2 linked regions of the Tamandua tetradactyla genome follow. The protein of the gene in region 1 interacts with the protein of each later gene in a pairwise test. Links are inferred from orthologs where the notes say so. Each region holds a gene or a part of one and is shown on either strand. Other genes may lie near its edges.

The links.
Region 2: the proteins of SPTAN1 (region 1) and EVL interact in binary tests that used the Homo sapiens proteins (3 or more experiments, as listed by UniProt). The link is inferred for Tamandua tetradactyla from reciprocal best matches to the Homo sapiens genes SPTAN1 and EVL.

Annotation. Positions count from the first base shown.
Region 1 is NC_135328.1:51,383,006-51,390,823, forward strand, and holds the start of SPTAN1 (spectrin alpha chain, non-erythrocytic 1), read left to right. Parts: upstream 1-4,716; 5' UTR 4,717-4,849; intron 4,850-7,818. UniProt on the Homo sapiens protein: Fodrin, which seems to be involved in secretion, interacts with calmodulin in a calcium-dependent manner and is thus candidate for the calcium-dependent movement of the cytoskeleton at the membrane.
Region 2 is NC_135338.1:61,272,507-61,279,897, forward strand, and holds the start of EVL (ena/VASP-like protein), read left to right. Parts: upstream 1-4,359; 5' UTR 4,360-7,391. UniProt on the Homo sapiens protein: Ena/VASP proteins are actin-associated proteins involved in a range of processes dependent on cytoskeleton remodeling and cell polarity such as axon guidance and lamellipodial and filopodial dynamics in migrating cells.

The sequences.
Region 1 (7,818 bases):
GTGTAACAGGCTGGAGGAACTGCCTGAAATGTAGAGCTGTGTTCCAGTAGCCATGTTTCTTGAAGATGATTGTATAATGATAAATCTTCCACAATGTAACTGTGTGATTGTGAAAACCTTGTGTCTGATGCTCCTTTTATCTACCTTATGGACAGATGAGTAAAACATACGGATTAAAAATCAATAATAGGGGGAACAAATGTTAATATAAATTTAGTAGATTGAAATGCTAGTGATCAATGAAAGAGAAGGGTAAGGGGTATGGAATGCATGATTTTTTTCTCTTTTTATTTCTTTTCTGAATTGATGCAAATGTTCTAAGAAATGATCACGATGATGAATATACAACTATGTGATGGAAAAAAAGAATGTTCATGTTGTATGTTGATTGGTTTTATTAATAAAAATTTTTTTAAAAAGACTACTCCAAAAAAAAAAAAATTAAAACTAATGGTGTCAAATAAGAAAAAAAATAAAAAGAACAACAGCAAAAAAAAGCTAATAGTGCCTAAGAGATCTGTGGAACACCATCAAGTGTACCAATATACTCATTATGGGAGTCCCAGAAGGAGAAGAAAGAGAGAAAGAAGTGGAATGAATACTCAAAGGAAAAAAAAATGTTAATATATAAAATTTTATGATATAAATATATATTTGTCACCGCACTAAAAAAAACAAAACTAAATCAGGTGATATAATAAATGGAATAAGAATGAAAGTTGATAATTGTTGAAGCCAGGTGATAATCATATGGAAGTTTACTATATCTATCTTTGAAATAGTCTAATAAAAAGTTTAGAGAGTAAAGAAAATAAAAACTCTGTCTTCTAGAATTTTTTAGTGCTTTAATTGTGCTCCTTCGAGTTATTAACCTCCAAGAGTTTGCATTGTGTACCAAACTGACAGTGGGACTTCTATTTCCAGAGCTTCTCTTGGGATTAGTGTTTCTGGGAATACACTTTTTGAAATGCTTTGCTTGTAGGTTGGGATAATCAAGAAGGTATCTTGTGGATAGTATTTGATCCAGATACTTGAAATTTTAAAAAAGATAATAAGACCGGGTTCGATTCCCAGAGCCTGCACATGCCAAAAAGAAGAGAGTAAGAAAGTCCCACAAATATTTTCAATTTTAGTTACCCATTTTGAAAGTTATTTTAGTCATGTCTATGCACAGATACACAGATATATGAATATAGTTCTTAAGTAAATGGACTCAGTACCCATATTGTTCTGTAACTTGCTATCATTCAGTAATATCTATTTTTTCATGTCAACCTATATGAGTTTACATAACCATTACAGTCTGTTGAATTTATGAATCATAATTAGCCAGTTTTCAATCGATGACTAGGTTGTTTCTAATTTCTTATAATTATTACATTCTTCAGTCTTGTCCTACTTCCTTAGGATAAATTCCTAAATGTAACATTGCTGGGTCAAATGGTATGTAGAGTTTATATTTTGATCCATTTTGCCAAGCTGTTCTTCCAGAAAAGTTCTGACTACACATATTCAAAATGGCTAAGATTTGCCAGGCAGAAATGAGAGGTGGGTGTCAGGGAAGAAGGACATTCTAATTAGTGGAAAAAGTAAAAGCAAAACCATGAAGTTGGAAAATACACGATGTGTTTAGGAAGTGGCTAAACTCAGGGTTAGTGGAGAAAACAATGAGATACGATGCCGGGAAGATAAGTTGGAACAAGATTGTGGAGGCTCTGGACTCTAAATAGTTTGGGCTCTCCTATAGGCAATGGAAAGCTATTAAAGGTTTAGAGAAGGTTTGATGTAGTTTATGCAACTAGTTCTAATAGTGTGTTCAAGATGAATGTGAGGGAAGGAGACTGGGCCTAACAGGCAGTCCCACAAGAATACAGATGTGAAATGACCCTGATTAGGACAATGAAGGTAGGGAGGGAGAGGAGTTCACTTCTTTGCCATTACATGGAGGTCCTCTTAAGCAAGCCAGCCTGGCAACACCACGCTCCAAGGTATTGGGATTCTTCTTCCATCAGCCTCTGCTCTAATGCCCCCTCTTTCAGAAGCAGTAACTGCGTTTGAAGATCTGTGCTATTCCTTGTTGGCTCTGATACTGCAGAATGTCACCAGGGAAAAAGTACAGTCCGCTTGCCAGCCCATGACTCTTCCCAATCAGCTCCCTTGAAGAGAGGGTAAATAGTGGAAGTGCTTGCCTGTCAGCTTTGCTGTGTGTGTGTGTGTGTGTTCCCTCCCAGGGAGTGGCAACTGACTTTACATGGCTGCAACTCATTACAATTAGTGTATTTCCCAGTGTTTGTCCATTCTGAACAACTTAAATAGATACTGGGATACAGAGATGCTTAAGCTTAAAAGGTGCATGTCAAACCTTCCGAAGACTGCTGTAGATATAAAGGAACTTAAAATTCAGTCTTGTGGCTGCTATTCCAGCAACCAAGAGAGATGTGATTGAGAATGTGGAATTGATTGTTTACAGAGCTGCTGTACCAATGTGTGTTTCCTATGTGTGTGTGTTTCTGAATGAGTCTCAGAAAACGAAGAGGGTCGTTATCTGCTTTATCCTTTCCCTCTCTGCACACCTAAGCAGAGTGTTAGGCTTTCAGTGAAATAGGTAGGAGGTGAGGTAGGCAGACAATAGAATTACGTGAAGAAAGAATGCTTTTTAAATGTTTTATTTCCAGCATCAAATGCAGAATAGAGTGGATGAGCGAGTAGGAGGTAGGGAGGACCGGGAATACTGTTTCTTGGTCATGTTTCAGATCAGACAAAAGATCAACAAACAAGATTTTAGGTTTTGTATTCATTCAGGAGCCCTTAATCTCCAATCTGTTTTACATTTGGCAAAAGCAGCAAAACACTCATTTCACTGAGGCCAGGACGATTTAAAAGAAAAATTCTCTCTCTTTATAGCTCCTACCCGCAGCCTTCAGATCCTATTCCTTGCTGGAGCAGAGTGGTCTTGGCAATTTTAGAATAAAAAACATTTTGTGTTAGCCATTTTGTACCCATGTTTGATGAAACATTTTGCTGCTACTTACTAGAGAGGAGGCTTGACGCCATCAGCTGTTTGCAGAAATGCACACACTCTAGGGAGGAGTTACCAGGCTTTGTTTTCTCTACATAGAAGATTGCAGGAAATGCCTCTCAGCTCCTACATGTTTCCTTCACATTTCTGGGGTGTGACCACTCCTTTTCTTTTTCCACCACTCTGGTGGAGTGAGGGACTGGGGGAATTTTTCCTCACTATCATGGCTATAACCAAGGCAGCTTAGAAACTAGATTGCAGATTCCTGGCACAGAGAAAGAAGACAAACTGAAGGGGACCAGGAAGCTCAGGGCTGGGCCTGGCCCAGGTTCTGGTGCAGTGCCCAGTGCCTTTATATTTATTTAAAGAGGAGGGCTGCTTGGTAACCAGGAGGCTGAGACCTTCATGAGCTGCTTTCATGAGTTTCTAGTCTGCCTGGCTGCACAGGAATGACCTGAGTGTTGCACAGGAATGACCTGAGTGTTGCTCTCAATGCCGTGACCCAGCTGTCACCAGAATGGGGATGAGAAAGGTTTCTGGTTTAGAACCAGGCCCTTAAACTGCTAGGAGGTATCTTATTTTTCCCTTCTAAGCAGCCCAGCATTCATCTGCACCACAATGCCTCCCTTTCCTGTGGAAAGACAGTATAGCACACTGTTTGAGAGAAGATTCTGACCACTTGGATTCAAATCTAGATAGTTTTTCTGCTTGCTAGCTTTGTGACGTTGGGCAAGAGGCCTCTGTCAGGGTGCTCATTTGTAAAATGCGGGAAATACTATCTACTTCATACATTCATTGCAAAAATAATTTTTTTAAGGTAATATACATGAAGTGCTTAGCAGACTGCCTAGTACATGAGGATAGTTGAGTTCATTGTGGCAGAGAAAACAATGTGTTGTTTATAAAATAAGATTAATACATCCTATTCTATTGGCAACTGAGACCGTGAGAATGCTTTTGTTGTAAAAACATAAGAAATTAACTCCCCAGATTTCAGAACGACAGATTTACATTCCAGTAAATAAACCGATTTTATTTTTTTATGATGTAGATCTGACCTTTTCTCGTTACCACCCTCTCAAACTGGGCCCAGTATCATTGTCGGTTTTTTTGACCCTTGTCCCCATCAGAGCATGGCTGCGGGGAGAGCAGACTGGGCTCACCAGCAGCAGCCTCCTCCTACCGAAAGTGGGCAGGAAAAAGAAAGCTTACTGGTGACCTCACCCTTTGGGACTAGGCGTTTTTCCGGCGCGGCGCAGCATCCCCAACCAGACTGCAACCATGGCCCCTGCCCCGCCCTTCGCCGCAGTCCTGGAAGGGCTCCCAGGGGCGGAGGGGTGGGGTGCAGAAGATCTCTGCAGGGAACGGAGGGGCAGGATTAGAGGACCTAAACTCCACGGATTGGGGTGCAACTGAAGCATCTCGGTCCCATGGGCGAAGGGCACTGACGCCGGTGCACCACCAACCCCCACTCCTTGCGCGCGCCCAGTTTCCCCACCGATCTGCTTCCCTCCCCACCCTCGCCTCTTCCTCTGCCTCGCCTCTTCGGCTCCTTCCGGGAGCGTTCGGCTCTTTCCGCCAGGCGGTGGCGAGGCGAAGCCGCAGGAACTCCGCCCCCTTTGCTCCGCAACAGCTCTCCCCCGCCCCTTGAATAGCGTTAGGGCGCTTCCCCCGCGCTCGCGCCCGCCGGCTGCCAGAACGCGCTTGGCCGTCTATAAAAGAGGCAGGGCGCGCGCGTCGCCGCCACTATCCGCTGCGGAGCGAACGGCGAGGATCGGAGGCTGAGGTGGCGGGTCGGTCCCTCAGCACCCTCTCATCCCCCAGGAGCGGGTGAGAGGGAGTGCGGGGTAGCTCGGGGTGGGAGCAGGGCCCGAAGGCAGGAGACCTGAGGTCCGAGAGCCGGGCCACCGGGAAGCGGCGAACAGGGAAGCCCCTAGGGCGGGGCGGGGCCAGCGCGCGGACAGGTGAGCCGAGCCCGCCTCACTGCTCCCTTCGGTCTCCAGGAGCCGGCCGAGCCGGCCGCGACCGGCTTTGTGGCGCGTGGGTTGCGGATAGGCAGCCTGGCAGAGCTCCGGCGCCGGCGGCTGGAATGTCATTTACTGGGGGGAGGGGGGAAGTGCCGTCGGGTTCTTCTCAGCACCCTCCTCTCAGTCCCAGCCGGGTTGCGGCCCCGCCCTGTTCCACCCGGCTGCGGCAGGTGGGGTGGGGGCCCTCGTCGGGATCTTTACCATCCCCGTTTTTGAAGAGTGCCCCCATCAACAGCCCCAATCCTTTCCCTCTGTGGGAGCGACTCCTGCAGCTCATTTTCCCAAATCACCGCAAGATTGAGGTTCAGCAGCAGTGCCTGCCCGACCCCTGAAGGAGGAAGGGCCCAAAAAGCATAAGGATCTCTTGGAACTTCATTTCATTCTGTATGGCGATTCTTGACTCACTCTAGGCGCGGAAAGGTCCGAGACTAGCCGTCTCGTTTTCTTCCTTGTAATAAACATTTCTTTCCTCCTCAGTTGTGCTCTCCTTGTAAACAATAGGTAGATGCAGTGCTTGCTTTGTAGAAGACCCAAATCGAATAATTTAATGTCTTAGGGTCTTTTTTCTCCCGAAGGCCGGGTCTTTCGGTCGAGAGCAGTATGTTACTAGACAGAATTTTTACAATCATGCTAATGTTGAATAATTGGGCAGTCTTTTGTTTGAAAGCCGTGTCTCAGAATTTGGTGCTTTCCAGTGAAATTTGCTTTTCAAGATCTCTTTACTGTATTGGGATAAAAGAGATTTGTTAAAGTTAAGGGTTGAGATGTTTCAAAGGAAAGCCTGAGTAGCCCATGGAATTGGGCTGAGATGATGCTTGAACTGCTGTAACACCTTGTCAAATGTCTTTTATGTAATAGATCCTAAAATATTTAAGGCCCTTTATTCTGTCTTCATCATGGTGTTTTAGAAAAACGTAGAATCATGGCTGTGAGGGGAGAATAGAAAAGAGACCATATGAAGTATTTTCATAATGTGTTGAGAAATTGCGTCGTCATAGCAATTGGACTTAAGTGAAGCAGAATGTATCAAAGATGGAAGGGTGGGGGTGTCCTGCACAGCCAAGGCCCAGCAACAATCCCAAGAATAGCAGTGGGAACACTAGCTGTATGAAGCCATTGAGCCAAGGTTCCAACTTAAACTAGAAAATTTACCTTTCGTTGTAGCTAATGTCTTAGATTTTGAAAGGTCAAAATGAAGTCAAAGTTATTAAAAAAAAAAGTGCTGCAGGAAAAAAATATGCTCTGCAGTAAGTGCCTCTGTGCAGGAAATTAACAATCCCTTTTTAGTAACTGGGCCAATAATTACTCAAAGGGACCCTCAAAGTGTGTTAGCAGTTATCTAGGGACCTAAAATGGAAAGATTCAAAAGGAGGATTTACTCGATAGTGGACAGGTGTGAAGCGTTTCTTTTTTTTTTTTTTTTAAAGGAAGGAAAGAAAGACAGAGAAGGAAGGAAGGATGGGAGGAAGAAAGGGAAACATCTTTATTTTTATTATATTTTGTTTGTTTGTTTGTTTTTCACATGGGCTGGGGCCGGGAATCGAACCGGGGTCCTCCGGCATGGCAGGCAAGCACTCTTGCCCGCTGAGCCACCGCGGCCCGCCCTGAAGCGTTTCTTGTTGGTAAACTATCAGTTTAGTAACTAATTCTGATATGCTTTTTTCTTGGTGCAGTGTGTTTTGTAGTAATCTAGTATTTGGAGAAATATGGTATGTCACAGGCTCTAATGTGAGCCTGTGAAGCAATCCGATGAATAAATTTAGGTGTGGAAGAGCTGTTTTAAGTATATCGTTTGGTTTCCTGGGTCAGAATTTTCCCTACTTTTCCTACCCACCTTCATCCCAAAGGGAGGGGCCAGTTGCAGATCATGAGAAATGGAGCTCTGGAATATTCCACCACAGTCCTGTCATTGCTGAACCTACACTAAGGACAGGGGGCCTGAAGCCGGCCTGCCTGTGTAATCAATCCTCAGTGGACTGTGCGAGGACTTCACTAATTATGCACGCCTGCCTGCTTCAGCTTTTCAGCTGTGGTTGTCTGAGTCCAGGAGAAGAATGCAACACCCTGATTGCAAATGCTGACTCTAGGAATGCAGAGAAAGAAGGCATAGTTGATCACTTGGAACCAGTTGACTGGAGCAGCTGTGCATTTGAACCATCATCCCCCTTCCACCTTTTTTGCGTATTCTCTTATACCATGTTTGAGCAGGAAGTAGTATTTGCTGGAAATTTACCTGCAAACTTGGCCCAAGTCAGATGTTTTTAGCTTGAGTTCATTCTTGTTTCTGATAATTTCATGAAAGCATGCTATTTTATTTGTGAATGAGAGGGAGTTTAGGAATCATCTAGTCCTGAGATTCTCAATGAACTTGGAGTGTGGGTCGTGGGGGGAGGCATGTTTTGTTTTAAAGAGTATTGTAAATTTATTGGATGAGTGGGTAAACAGGCTGAAAAGGAGCCGTGACTTGGTTGAGGCAGCACACAGAGATACTAACAGTTAAAGATCAGAGAACCTTGGTTCTCTTTCCACATTTTAAATCCCTGGTGAGATAGAGATAGAAACTGTATAGAATGTCAAAGGAGATAGGAAAATATCTGAAAATTGATTTTTATCTGTATTCATGTATTTTTAAAGGTCTGTTTTCTTCATTTTGAAATTTTGTTCAGTTTGCCCATAGATGCTTGTTATTTTGCTCTTCCCCCTCCCTCTTTAGACTCCGCATTCCTCCATCATGTTGTCATCATTTCGTAAACGCAGAGTCCAGGTATTTGA
Region 2 (7,391 bases), on another chromosome or scaffold:
AACAAGTAGGTACAGAACAGATCCCAGAGTTTGTCACTGGGCACCATAGTGATCTTTCAGAATTTTCCTTTTAGCTACTCCAGAATACAGGAGGCTAGAAGACTTAAATATTTTTTTATCACCTCAATCACCTTTTTTCTTTCTTCTTTGTGAAAAATAACAATAGCTATTATTGTATTTGATCCTCATGATTTATTTGTGAGGGGATAGGTCAGGAATTATCATCCACATTTGATAGGTGAACAAACGGACTCCAAGAGATAAATTGACTCACCTGGTAGGGAGGAGCCCAGATATTCAGTCCCTAACTCAGTGTTCTGGCCACTCACCAACTGCATGGCAGAACCAGGATTCAAGAAGACCTTTAGAAGAAGAACAGCCAGTTGAAGTGGGGAAAAAAATGAACATAACAGGTAATATAACATTTTAGACACCCTGCATATTGATTTACCATTGTAGATTATCATTTTAAGTTTTTAGGTATATATGCCCTGTCCCTGACTCTTTAAAAGGCCTTAAATGTACCGGACTATTCTTTGACCTCCCTCTCCTCCCAGGGATGTAGCAGTGCTAGACACATAGCAGGTGCCCAGTAAATATTCCTTGACTGGATAAAAGCGTTCCATGCTTTTGTCTTCTTGATTTTCTCTCCATTCCTGAAACGACTTTCTTGGCAAATTTCTGAATATCAGGGTGACATTGGAGCAGCTGCATATTTTCATTCAGCAGGATAGTCTGCCCATTTGTTTGACACTTGCCCCAGAAAGAGGACTGCTCACTTAATCCATGTGCACTTTCTTATGAAATCTCTCAGAATCCACAAACCTTGATATGTTTTGAATAATTCTGCATGCCAGAGCCATAGGTAGAAGAGTAAAGAGGAGGTAAGATCCTTCCTTTCATAGAGTTGTCACTTCCTGGAGCTTATGGTCCTGGTGGAGTTCTTTGTATTTCTGTTGCAAGATTTTGCATCTTTGCTGTGTTTCATTAGTGATCTAAGAACCTCACACAGAACAATTGAATTGTGAGAGAGACTTGCTCCAAAATGTGCCTAAAATCATCAACTTCTCACTTGTTTACTACTGTCACCTGAGTCCAAACCCATCTTCTCTTATCTAGACTACTGCAATGGCTTCTAACTGGTCTCCCTGTTTACATTTTCCTTTTACAACTGCCCAGTGGGTTCCCTGGCTGATAAAGCCCTACTTACCTCTTATCTTCATCCTTCTTGGCCCCTTGTACAGCTTCTTTGCTCTGCATGTAATGCTCTTCCTTCATATTTGCATGAATGACTGCTTCTTGTTATCCAAATCTCAGCTGAAATGCCGCTACCTCAGAAGGGCCTTCCCTGTCACCGTTTCCAAATTTAGTAGCCCCCAGATTACTCTCTCCTACATTGCCCTATTTTGTATCCTTTTCCTTATTTATTAGGTTCATTAGAATGTAATCACCATGAAACTGGGGGCTTTGACTTCATTACTCCTCTCTTCACAGAAGCTAGAATAGTTAAGTTTCTAGCACATAGCAACCCTTCAAGTTTTGTGGAAGGATTGAAAGGTTAATTTTCAGTAACCTAGCACAGATATTTAGAGTGTGCTTATATGATGAGAAAGATGAATATAGACTTGAATTCAGAAGTAATTACCAGTAAAGTCCTACTTTTGAGTATTGGTTGATGGAAAAACATATGTATTTTATGGTAGTATTTCACTTAAAATTGAGGTGAAGGATGGTTTTATTTAAGACTTCTATTTTAAAATTAAATATACTAAAGAAGTTCAGTTGAATGATGAAATTTGGGGGTAAGACTTAGTCCAAAGTATAGAACTCACATTTAAGATTTCCTATCACATTTAAGATTTCCTATCAATTCAGCAGGTTTAATTTAGTTTTGTTTTTAATTTTTGGAAAGGTTAATTCAACAAGAATAAAAAGGCATTCAGTAAATCCAAAGCCTATCAGCTGCTTAACTTGTCCTGTGCCTTGTGAAGGCTTAGAAAGGACTGTAAACCTTGGTCAGTGCCTGTTTTAGTTCCCTAAGCTGCCAGAATGCAGTATGCCAGAAACAGAATGGCTTTTAAAAGAGGAATTTACTAAGTTGCAAGTTTATGGTTCTAAAGTCATAGAAATGTCCAAACTAAGGCTCCCACAAGAGGTTACCATCACTTAAGAAAGGCTGATACCATCCGGAATACCTCTGAAACTGGGAGGACATGTGGCTGGTGTCTGCCAGGGTCTCTGGCTTCTGGACACCTCTCAGCCGGAAAGACACATGGCAACATCTAGCTTTCTCTCTTCGTTTCATAAGACTTTTCTGGGGGTGTTTTCCTTTTTCATCTCCAAAGATCTCTGGCTGTGTGGGCTCTGCTGGCAGTAAAGCTTTGTCCAAAATGGTTCCCTCTTAAAGGGCTCCAGTAAGCAACCCCACTTTGAATGGGTGGTGACACATCTCCATGGAAACCATCTAATCAAAAGTTACTACCCACAGTTGGGTGGGTCACAACTCCATGGTAACAATTAAAAAGATCTCACCCAGCAACATTGAATGAGGATTAAAGAACATGGCTTTTCTGGGGTACATGATAGTGCCAAACCGGCACAGTGCCTGAATGCTGTCCAGAATTGGGGGATACTGGCCCAAAGCATCATGAATTTAGCTTGAAGCTGCCCTTAGCATGCTGTTTTTCCTCGGAGGGGTCTGTGCATTTCTGGGAGTGAGGACTAGTGTCTAGTGGAGATTATGGGAAACTGAGCTCTTCATGTCTCCCCCATGCCAACCCCACTAGTCCCTGTCCTCAGTGACACGTGTGCGTCTCGTTAGAGATCTGAGACAGGAAAGTGGGCAAAGGTTACTCAGAACAGGACAGGATGTAAGATTTTAAAATGGATATTGATTATCAATGGGAATTTTGGAGATTTAGTGCTCACTAGGGGCTGGTTTGAGTCAGGAGGGGTGCATACTAGGGTTTTGAAGCATTTGCCATAATATTGTTGATTGTGGCTCACAGGGGCCAGGTATTTCATTTCTGCAGCATTCCCACAGAGCAGGTGCTACCTTCTCCCATCTTAAGAGGCTGAGACTGGGGAAAACTTGCCCCTGCCTTCTCAGGGAACATGAATAAAACTAGACTCAGCACCACACCTTTCCATACCCACTTGTGAGAGAAGGCATAAAGCAGGTTTTCAAGAAAAGGTGAGCCAGGAGTGGAGGTGGGCTGGGACCAGCCAGGGGTCCATGAGGAGACATGCATGGGAGGTGGGTTGAGGGCATAATGGGCCACCTCACAGAGGAACCAAGACTCTATTCTGCGGACCATGAAAAGAGGTGTGGGTTTAATGGAAGTTTGCCAGAGTAGGAGACTGTGCATAGAAGACTGTACAGGAAGAGGTGAGCCTGGCAGGGGGACCAGGCAGAGATGAGGAGGCTCTTATTTAGAGGGTGGAAGAAATGAGAAGTAAGGGGATAGAAGCTGGGCCATTGAGGAGACTATAGAGAAGCTCTTGTTACCACGTAGGCCCCTGCTTATCTGAAAAATCCTTGGTTGGGCCATGAGAAAAGAATAGTATTTTAGTCACCATAGGAACTGATTTTCACTTTTTTCTCCTGTCTCACATCTGTGCACACAGTGGGGAATGTGTATAGCTCAGAGTGTCCCACACAGTCCTGGCACTGGCAGGGACTGCTGGAGTCATTTCACGGGGTGTTTTCAGACTGTGTCTATGTCTGTCCCTACTGAAGAGAAAGTAAAGCGTAGCAGCAGGAACACTGGGGGTCCCTCCATCCCTTCTCAACCAGAACTCTTCTGCTTTTATCAGTTTTGTATTTTAGGGTTCATATTAAGTGTTATTTCAAAAAGAAAGCAAAGACAAAAACCAAAATTCTGAATATCTGGCTGTTCCTTCGGGGTAGAAAGGGAAATTGAGCCCCGGAGTAATAACAACTTTGTCTAAGTCTTTAGTCATTGCTAGATGACTTAGAGTGACTCTTTTTGTTGTTTAATCATTGTGTGGTCACACAAGTGCTTTTTCAAGTCCTGGGCTGGAAAGGTGTAGAACAGTCATGGAACCTCCTTTATGCCCCTGTTCTTGACACTTTGGCCAGGGCCAGGTGGATAAAATAAACCAGAAGGACTCATAGATGCAGGTCCCAAAACCCCAGTGGGGCATAAGGGTTAAAAGTGGTGGAGTCACCTATATTCTGGAGTAGCTAGAAGGAAAAATCTGAGAGGATCGTATGGTAGCCCATGACAGACTCTGGGATCTGTCCTGTAACCACTTGTTGAAGAATGCTTTGAAAACTATTGCTTTTTTATTTCTTTGCTTTGTATATATGTTATACTATACAATAAAAAAAAGTTAAAAATAAATAAATAATGGTGGAGTCAAACCAACCTGAATCCCAAGTTATTGCTCTGCCATTTAAAAGCTCTAAGACCCAGGGCAACTTATTAGATACTTGTCCTTGGTTTCTTTATTAGGAAAGAAATCTCATAAAATTACGTCTAAAGTGCATTTTGTGCTGGGATTTGGAGATTTTTCACCATTTCTATCCACTCGTCTCTCTACTAGGACCTTATGAATTTTCATACAAGATATAACCAGCTCTCCAACAGGAGGTTTGAATCACTGGTGGAAAACAGGCACTGTCTAGAGATTGTCCATCCCATTAGACCTTCTGTTACACTGGACCTACCTTGTGGGTTTTAGCAATGCTAAAGCAAATTAGACCAGTTAGCACTGTGCCAGATGCCTAGAAATTCAGACTACTACTCTTCCTCTTGTACTTTGCAAAGAGAGCCGAGAATGTAGACTTCCTCAAACTAACAAATCTATCAAAAGTTATTTGTGTATCTATGGTTTGCTAGCTCTGCCCTCAAGGTTGTGAAGGCTCAGTAAAAAGATGCTCTGGTAAGTTCCCCCAAGAAGTTTGCTTCTGGCTGACTACCAGCTGCTCCTTTCTCCATCCCACCTGAGTAGATCCAGGTAGTCATATAATTGTATTTGGTCTGGGTGATTGCTCTTCCTAGGACTTGGGTAATCTCAAAACTGTTGTTTTATTTATTTTTTTAACCTAGAATTTAGGACAGTGGTTTTATACATAATACATATGTGTCCAAATAAATAAACTGCTAGTGAACAGACAAAATGCTTCAATTAGGAGGTATCCCTCATCATAAAGATGAGCCTTCCAGCAGTCCACGCTGTCCAGGGAGAGGCCATCTTGTGAGATGATAAAGATGATGAATGATGACGTGTCTTTATACACTTGATAAAGGATTTTACAGCTCCATTATGGGGTCCTGACAGCAATCTCTGAGAGAGGCCTGGGCAGTGTTACTGTTATTCTATATTTAGACCTGGAGACTCCAAGACTCAGAGAACTTAAGTAGCTTGCTAGCAATCGCAAAGCTAGTATATGGCAGAATTGGGACTTAACACTGAGTTCTTTAATGACTGAATCCCCTGTTTTCTGTGATAACCATGATTCTGCCAGAAGCTCTCAGCGGAGAGGGCCCAGGTGGAGGCTTGTCAGGAACATTGTGGAAGGCATTCCTGTACCAGCTTAGTACATCATAACTGTTTGGTTTGAGGGACCACAGGAGTCCCCAGAATAGTGTCCTCACTAGTTGGCCTGCCTCAGCTTGTCATTATCGCTTCATTTCTTTGAGATGGAACAAACTATAGACAGAAGGCCGCCTCTGGGCACCTTCGTGTGAACACAGGTACTAGATTGCCTGTCTCCCTAATAGAAAACTGAGGCACATGGAGGTTCACTCTACAGACCATTACTGAATAACTGTTCTGGTAAGATATGTTCAAGGCATGAGGAATACAAAATTAACCTCACACAATCCCAGCCCTTGATGAACTCACAGGTTTCCAAGGGAGTAAGGGGGGAGGACAAAATGCCAGCTTGGTATGCAGTTAGCAGCACAGAGGGGACCACCAACTGTCCTAGGGACAGCTCAGGGTCCTGGGGAGGCAGCCAGCAGCCGAGGGACAGCATAGGCAGCACAGAGGGTGCAGGTCAGGATTAGGGAGCAATGAATAATATGGTCTGGTTGGCCCATGGACCCCAGAAGGAAGATCTAGGCATATTTTGGGAACTGGAATGTCTGGCTGAATTTTGAGGTTTTAGAAGTGTTTTGATGAAAGAAAATTGGAGCAATAAGATTGTGCAGGCCAGGCCAAGGAGTTTTTACTCATCTTGTGGGCACCAAGGAACTAAAGCAGTTTTAAAGTGGGAAAAGGGGCATCAATCAGATTTAGAAAGGTTGCTCTACAGATTTTTAGAGAAGGGACAGAAGAAGACGACTAGTAACAAGACTGACTGAGAGATGATGAAAGCCATGGGCATGGGGATGGGGGAAAAGGGCCAGAGTCAAAGAAGTCATCCTAAGGAGAATCAGAATCAGTGACTGATTACATTTGTGGTGTGAGGGAAAGAACAGAAAAAGTTAAGAATGACTCATGGGTTTTTATTTGGGATTTGTCTCCCTTCTTTTTTCAAGATTTGCAATGCAAAGGCTGAAGATTCTCCTTAATGGCAAGTTTCAGAATACAGCCTCAGCTCATTTGGCAAATCTTGCCAGCTTGGGCTTTACAAACTGGTAAACATTTCTCTCTTCTTTTGGCTTGCGTCTCATTTCTTGTTTCTTAATTTCTGTTCTGTTCTGAAATTATTATAGTAGTTGTACGTCAAGGAATTGATGAGAACCTAGTATATATTAGACACTCAATAAATGAATAATCAAATAGATGGGGACACTAACATGGTGACATGCAAGGTAATTTGATTGGGGTGAAGATGAGCACAAAGTGTGATTGTTGAGATTCTGTTGCGTCTTATGCATTTGTGTGAAAATGAAGCTTGGTAATGGAATGGTAAAGCACAAAATTTAGGAGAATTTTTCAGTGAACTGACTTTGGGTAAAAGATAGCCTGTGTATCATTATTTGCTGTATTCACTTATAATTCTGGTTATGCTTGGTCATTAGAGCAGCCACAGCCATGGGAGGATGAGGTAATTAGGTAGTTCATAATGGAACAGGTTGCTTTCTCATTCCTTTAAGCTTTTCCCACTCTCCTGTAAAATTCTGGGGGTAATAGTGAGGGAGTGGTGGTGTTTCATGATTACCCATGGTCCCAGGCATGCCCCAGGTCCAACTTATTTCACTAGACTAATCCAGCTCCCAGCCTGGAGCCTTAGCACACACTGCATTAATCAGACTTGCTGGAATGATCACATGGTTTTCTCGCTGCCTCCCTGTTAACTGCCGCTTGTCAGCAGCTGGCAGAGCTGGAGGCTGCAGGCCCATGTCTGCAGAAAACCTTTTACTTCAGGATATTGGGAGTGTGTGGAAACCCCACCTCTTTTTTTCCTGCACTTT